Linked DNA regions of Arabidopsis thaliana. The protein of the gene in region 1 purifies or fractionates together with the protein of each later gene. This does not show direct contact. Each region holds a gene or a part of one and is shown in the gene's direction. Other genes may lie near its edges.

Region 1 (3,755 bases):
GCATCTATCCAATCTACACTGAATCCATTGACCATTTCTAGTCCCTCCCCAAGTAAAGCCATTGCTTGTACTACCTAGTTCATGCATATCACAAGTATTCAACATGTCTTGAAAAGATTGAAACGAAGAAGGTACTCTTCTCGGACCCCTCTCTTTCCCGTTTTCGACTTAATATCATTGAAGTCACCTATCATACACCAAGCTTGCTTCCGATGTGATCCAAGACTACACAACTTATCCCAAACCTAAGGCCTAAGATATGTCACCAGATGCCCATAAACACAAGAAACAAAGCATACTTTATTTCTAGAAGAACACTGAAGATCCAAAAGATGTTTATCATCAAAAAGAATCTCAATGTCCAAATGGCTTTTCCAAAAGATTGCTAAGCCACCACTTCTCCCTTGAGGTTCTATTGTATACATATAGTTATAACCAAGCCAATCAATAACTTTTGAAACAAACTCGTCAGGATTCATAGTCTCCATGAAGAATAAAATGTCCGAGATATGATTTTTTTTCATCTCCTTAAGGTGTCGAATTGTCCAAGGATTCCTCAAGCCTTGACAATTCCAACTAAGGACGCCTTACTGATCCAACGGTGGTTCACTTGGAACCACCGTATTCTTGTCTCTCTTGAAACTTTGAGCTTCTGTAATGTCTGAGGGTTTTCTTTTCCTTTTGAACACCTTTTCAAAATGAGGAGAGGCAGGAGACTGAATAACCTTATTCTTCAGAGACAGCTCATTAACTAGTTTTTCTTTCCTGAACTGAAAAGGAGTGAAATCCTGCATTATATGATGTTTAAACCCTGAAGTGGAGGAACTAGCCTCACCAACACATGTGGTAAATCCAGTACTAATGTCCAAATCTAGCATCTCAGCTAACAAAGTATTCTCTGGATGACTATCAATTGCAACAGTAGCTGATAGAGGATTTGCTGGCAAAGCATCTACCCTTCCTTTGGGAGCAATTGACTGAAAGGGAAACTCAGCCAGCCTCGGTAAAAACATCTTCTTCTGTTTGCCTTTCTCTTGTAATGATCTCACATCATGTTTGATGGAATCTAAGACTTTGGATGGGCATCTATTTTTATCATGAGTTAATCTTTGACACAAGAAACATCTCTTTCTAATCTGTTCATAGTCAAAAGAAATTGTGACAACTTCACCAGATGGAAGTTGTACCTCTTTATTGTTACGAAGTGGATTGGCGACATGAAACAAAACCCGAACACGAACATAGTCCTGAAACTGTGATTTTTCAGAGTCCATCACCACCTCCTTCACTTCCCCAATACAGCTCGTGATCTCTTTAATTGTGTCCTGAGTATAATAGTTCACCGAAATATTCCTCACTCGACCCCAGATTGGAAGAAAATTCAGATAATCAATTGGAGGATTCTCAATCCATCTATCCATGACTACACCCCAATTTATCTTCTGTCCAAACTCCAATTTTCATAATTTCTTCTAAATCTTCCTCAGATTTGAAGAAAAATTGGAATCGATCCTTTGAGAGAGCAACACCTCTAACCCGAGAAGAAATTCTCCAAATTCGTGGCATATCTAATATCCAATTAGACATCCTTTGATTCTCTAGATTCAAAAACCTACCCAACTAACGACAGTTGTTTCTGTTAATTGAACAAAAGCGCGGTTGATCAGAAAGAATCAGAGGCTTATTGTCTTAAATCGACATATTCTGAATGGCTTTATCCAGCTCCATGATGAGATCCTGATAGAGAGTAAACAACTTTCCCGAACTCGTCAAACCTGATTTGCAGGAAACAAACTCCAAGAGAAAAAACAGTGAAGAAATCCGAGTAATTCAGATGATAACCAACACAGAACTGAGAATCACAAAGCAAACTCTCGTAACAGAGAAAGAGTCAGAACTACCAAAAATCCGAGGAAGAAAACAACAATTTAGACCGGACCGAACACGTAAATATTTCTGGTAGAAGCTCCGTTCAGAATAGAACACCTGAGAGAAAAGTCTTTAGGCTCCAAATTAACTGGGACGACTATTGTTTTAACGGCTAGTTTCAGCTACTAAGAGAAAGAAGAGAGAGAAAAACTTTTTGTCAAACTCTTTTTGTGAACTCCTTTTCTTAGATGACAACACTTATGAGAAAAAAAAAAAAAAATTAGTTTTGACGAGACACGGACATAAAAAAAAAAACTAGGGCAGAGTGACTGATACCAAAGGAGAAACAACAAAGAGACGAACTGAAGAAAAACCTCTCGGAAGAAGATGAGCAATTGGAAAACTCTTCTCCTTCGCATCGGCGAAAAGGGACCTGAGTACGGCACTTCCTCCGACTACAAAGACCACATCGTCAGTATCTCTCTCTCGATTCATCCTCGCTCTTAAACCCTAATTTTCTCACTACTCAAAACTTTTCCGATTCTCTATATACAGGAGACTTGTTTCGGTGTCATTCGTAGAGAAATCGAGCGTTCTGGAGATCAAGTTTTGCCTGTAAGTGACTTCGAGCCTTCAATTTTAGGATCTGTTGTGATGTATCTCTGTGGATATTATTATTGTGTGTTCTCATTATTTTTGTTTTCGTCTTAACAGTTTCTACTACAATGTGCTGAACAATTGCCTCATAAGATTCCTTTGTATGGGACTTTGGTAAGTCTCTTATAAACTAGTTACCTTGGCTTTTTCATTTCTGGGTATGTGTTGGATGTTGGGCTTGCATTTAGATGTGTTATATATGTGGAGGTTTTGATTGAGTATGTTATGGTATCTGTGAACTGATTCTTATCGAAGAATAATTAGCTCGAAGCAATAACGGAAGGCATTTAACTTGAAACAAATGAACACTTCAGAAACACAAATAATAGTGGAAATGCCCTTAAGGTGGATCATTTTGTGTCTATTATATCATATATAACATGTTGTAGGAATCTATTTATTCATAGTATTCATCAATATTTGCTAACTTCTGAGTAATAAAGAATGCTTGAATATTTTCTGTGTATAATTCTTATCTGTGTAAGTAGCATTTGGATCTATTTTTGAACTGAGATACCCTGTTCCCTGTTATAAATTAGTTCGATTTAATCTGATACACATACTTCGAAGTTTGATGGATGTCTTTCCACATGTTTAAGATTGGTTTGTTGAACTTGGAGAATGAAGATTTTGTCCAGAAGCTAGTAGAAAGTGTCCACGCTAATTTCCAGGTGAATAATCTAATCTGTACATCAAAGGCCAAGGATAAATTGATAACATAAGTTTTCTCAGTTACTTTTGTTTCTAATGTGACTGTTTTTCTTGGTCAAACATGCCAGGTCGCTTTAGATTCTGGCAACTGCAACAGTATCCGTATATTGCTTCGCTTTATGACTTCCCTGGTATGGTTGCTAATCATGTTTCATGGTTGCTTCGTCTATTTAATATGTTAGTTCATGTTTCTAATACACAGAAAGCGTCTAAAAAATAAAAGTGCGAAGTATATAGAACAGTATTTGTGAAAATTTTGAGATGTTTTGTCTATTTTCTAACATGTTTTAGTTGGGTTCTTTAGTTGTGCAGTAAGGTTATTCAACCTGCTTCTTTGATTGTCGTCTTCGAAACATTGCTATCATCTGCTGCCACTACTGTGGATGAAGAGAAAGGAAATCCATCATGGCAGCCACAAGCTGACTTTTACGTTATATGCATCTTGTCCAGCCTCCCGTGGGGAGGATCAGAACTCGCTGAGGTACTGCTCTTGGACTAAATACATTCTAGAAATTATT
Region 2 (3,755 bases), 7.2 Mb from region 1:
CAGGAATTTGCATGACAAGACTCTTAGCACGTTCTAAGTGTTCGTACTCTCCTCTTACGAGTTACAAGATTGAAGAGGTTTCCATCCTATAAAGACGATCAAGAATATATAATAAGAAATGCTTACTTTAATCAAGTCAATCTTCTCTTGATGTATCACAGGTCTTCACCTACCTTTTCGTAGTCACGAAGCCATTTTTCTTCTTCCTTAGCTTGCTTCCAGGTTTCAACTGCATCTATTATGCCTTTCCTTCTTAAAGCTTCAGATTTTGCTTCCTCATATTAGCATCCAATGCAGCACCAATATCAGATAGAGCACGATCACCTGACAAGATAACTTATCTTTTAAGCATATCTAAATTGCTGTTTTTTTCTTACAAATAGAAGAGTTCTTCACTTACCCTCATTATCAGTTAGCTCAATACTGCCTGTCGAGCTCGACAAAATGCCTTTAACTCGTATTGCTTCTGAAGTACATTCACCTTCAGGGTTTCCCCAGTTTTAGTTTTCTTTGCCACTTTGTCAGCCTTGTCTTTATTAGCAATCCTCTTCGTTTTGGGAGCACCAGTGGATTCCTTTCTTTTACCAGCATCATTAGTACTCGTCTTGGGAAGATATTTTGCACAACTCCATTTTTGTTTTTTCTTAGGGTGATGAATGACTTGGCCTGAGGTGAGAAATTGAGAGTGTAGAGACTTTTGCCTTTGTAGTTATACTCTGCCAAACTCCATCCTTTTAGCCAATCATCCACAAACTCTATGGGTAAATCATCATGATACCTTAAGTAAGCTAGTTTAGAAGAAGTGCTCACAACTTCTTGACCCATTTGAAACTGATGAACATAGTAATTGACACTGCCCCACTTTATAAGAGCACCATTGCAATTAAAATATCCAAGATGAACATTTTTAGTTGGATAAAAGAAGACCCACGACTTGTTGCTTTCTCCCTCTAGAAATTGAAAGTTGATGAAATCTCACTCCCATGGACTGCGATCAAATATTTCAAGATCGTCTATCCATGGAATTGCAACATCAACTCCAAAATCTACACTTTTAACCAAACTAATCATAAGTTAAATTTCAATTTACAATCGTTTATTAATATAGTGATTAAGTAAGTTATCAAGTATTAATTTATAGAGTTTTATTTTTGTATAAACTAACCACGAGTTAAGGAGGTGTTATTGGTTTATGATTTCAAAAGAGTTTTAGTGACTTAAAGTATCATGTAGAATCTGTTGTTATTTAATCAAAAAAATTTAAAAGTATGTTAAAAGTTTGTGTTATTCATTAAAGATTTGTAAAAAGTAATCTAAAAATCTTCATAAATTTTAGATTATTGAATTCATACTTTTATAAAGTCAGTAAATTTTTTGTGTTATTCTATTAAAACAAAAAAATCTCTGATTGTTTATGATTTAAATTATTATGTTATTGGTTCATGACTTTCTACATTTTCTTTCACAAAATAAAGTCATAGAAAGTCATGAATTTTTTTTCAAAAGATTGTTTTGAGAAACTTTAGAAGAAAATGTATTTAATTATAATATTCATAGCTGGAAATTGATCTAATATTTAATTATAATATTAAAGTTTCCAGTTATCCAAAAGAAGATGTGAGTTTTTTTGAACTTGGTAATTAAAAAAAGAAAGCAATATTTCAGATTTAATACAGATTCATAAGAAGGATCCATAAGAAATTAACTAAACCGGATCTGGTCTTGAAATAGTGACGGACGCGTGTCCCCCGGTCAGAGAGTTGCCGTCACAATCACGCGGAGAAAGAGCGACAAATCAAACCTTAACCGTTAAAACGTCATCGTTTCATATCCCCCCACAACCGAACCCCTTTCGTTCGCCCGTCTCTCTTAAATAAATCTTAGAGATTTCTGCAAAATTCGTCACTTCAATTTCAATTTTCAGATCTCAAAAACTTTTTCTCTTTTCCGATTCCAATCTTCTCTCGTCTGCTTTCCTCAAAGGTACGTTTTATCTTCCTTCTCATAGCTTCCGAAGAATCAATCTAGGGTTAGGTATTTCAATTCTGATCGGATTTTCTCTCTTCAGTGTTCTCTAATCTAATGGGAATTTCACATGTTTTCTCCAGGTTTTTTCATCACTTTATGCTTCACAAGCGAGCTAGTGAAGCTAACGATAAGAACGATAATACCATCATCGGTTCCGATTTAGCATCATCTAAGAAACGCCGTATCGATTTCACTGAATCTTCGTCTGATAAGTCTTCTTCGATTTTAGCTTCTGGTAGTAGCAGGGGTTTTCACGGCGATAGCGTCGTTCAGCAAATCGACATGGCTTTTGGTAATTCGAACCGTCAGGAGATTGATGAAGATCTGCACAGTCGCCAGCTCGCCGTCTATGGTCGTGAGACTATGAGGCGTCTCTTTGCTTCCAATGTTCTCATCTCGGGGATGCACGGTCTTGGTGCCGAGATTGGTATGTACTTCATTGGTTTTATGTTGAGATTGTGGTCTCCCTCGTCTCTTTGGTTTTTGAAACTTGTAGAAACACTGTTTTCGTATGCGTCGTTATTAGAAGCTGTGAATAATTGTGTCATCTTCAAAGATTTTACTCTTTAGTTGTTTTGTTTTGGTTCTCCTGATCTGTGATTGCTGGTATTCTTCAACATCCAAATCTTAGTAGCTTCCTGATGTTCCTTAGTTGTTCGATATCTTTGTTATTGGGGTTTCGTTATATGCCAGTTTTCTAAGATGCATGGTAAATGTGAACTGTTAATGATACTTTTTAGTCGATTGCTTTCTCATTCAGTTTTTGTTTTATTTGTTGATTTTCTTCAGCCAAGAATCTTATACTTGCTGGTGTGAAGTCTGTGACCTTGCATGATGAAAGAGTTGTAGAGCTATGGGACTTATCAAGCAACTTTGTTTTCTCGGAGGATGATGTTGGCAAGAATAGAGCAGATGCTTCTGTTCAGAAGTTACAGGATCTTAACAATGCTGTGGTTGTCTCTAGCTTGACCAAAAGCTTAAACAAAGAGGATCTTTCTGGCTTCCAGGTTTGTAGACAACTCATTTGTCTTGTTATTGGTTCTATATGGTCTGAGTCTTTTGTGTACTGTATCGTTCTGTAGATTACTTGTGAGTTTATGATAACACTGTAACTGAATGAGTAACATAAGAGTGGGTTGTTCTATTTTCGTTGCATATAAGAGATGGGTTTTGTCTCATTTAGTGTTAGGCTATTTCTAGTGTTTATTGATATTGATATGGAAGATTGGTGTACACTTTTCTCATTGGTGTGTGTTTCTTGTTGGCGGGTTTTACGCTGATACATCTACTTTTGTGCCAAACAGGTTGTTGTATTCTCTGACATAAGCATGGAAAGAGCAATCGAATTTGATGACTATTGTCACAGCCATCAGCCTCCTATCGCTTTTGTCAAGGCTGATGTCAGGGGTCTTTTCGGCTCTGTCTTTTGTGATTTTGGGCCTGAATTTGCGGTTCTTGATGTTGATGGAGAGGAACCCCATACAGGCATCATTGCGTCTATCTCTAATGAGAACCAGGCATTTATTTCCTGTGTCGACGATGAGAGGCTTGAGTTTGAAGATGGTGACCTAGTTGTTTTCTCAGAAGTTGAGGGTATGACAGAATTGAATGATGGGAAACCAAGGAAGATAAAAAGTACACGGCCATATTCATTCACCCTTGATGAGGACACTACTAACTATGGAACATATGTGAAGGGTGGTATTGTCACTCAAGTGAAACAGCCA

What was found. Proteins that work in one complex are often made in the same cells at the same time.
Region 2: the proteins of ABH1 (region 1) and UBA1 fractionate together in Arabidopsis thaliana (co-fractionation; one large-scale study listed by BioGRID). This does not show direct contact.

Annotation. Positions count from the first base shown.
Region 1 is NC_003071.7:5,634,797-5,638,551, forward strand, and holds the start of ABH1 (ARM repeat superfamily protein), read left to right. Parts: upstream 1-2,087; 5' UTR 2,088-2,256; coding exon 2,257-2,340; intron 2,341-2,424; coding exon 2,425-2,484; intron 2,485-2,583; coding exon 2,584-2,640; intron 2,641-3,125; coding exon 3,126-3,197; intron 3,198-3,305; coding exon 3,306-3,368; intron 3,369-3,541; coding exon 3,542-3,718; intron 3,719-3,755. UniProt on the Arabidopsis thaliana protein: Component of the cap-binding complex (CBC), which binds cotranscriptionally to the 5'-cap of pre-mRNAs and is involved in various processes such as pre-mRNA splicing and RNA-mediated gene silencing (RNAi) by microRNAs (miRNAs).
Region 2 is NC_003071.7:12,855,739-12,859,493, reverse strand, and holds the start of UBA1 (ubiquitin-activating enzyme 1), read left to right. Parts: upstream 1-1,766; 5' UTR 1,767-1,983; intron 1,984-2,108; 5' UTR 2,109-2,124; coding exon 2,125-2,455; intron 2,456-2,817; coding exon 2,818-3,035; intron 3,036-3,332; coding exon 3,333-3,755. UniProt on the Arabidopsis thaliana protein: Activates ubiquitin by first adenylating its C-terminal glycine residue with ATP, and thereafter linking this residue to the side chain of a cysteine residue in E1, yielding a ubiquitin-E1 thioester and free AMP.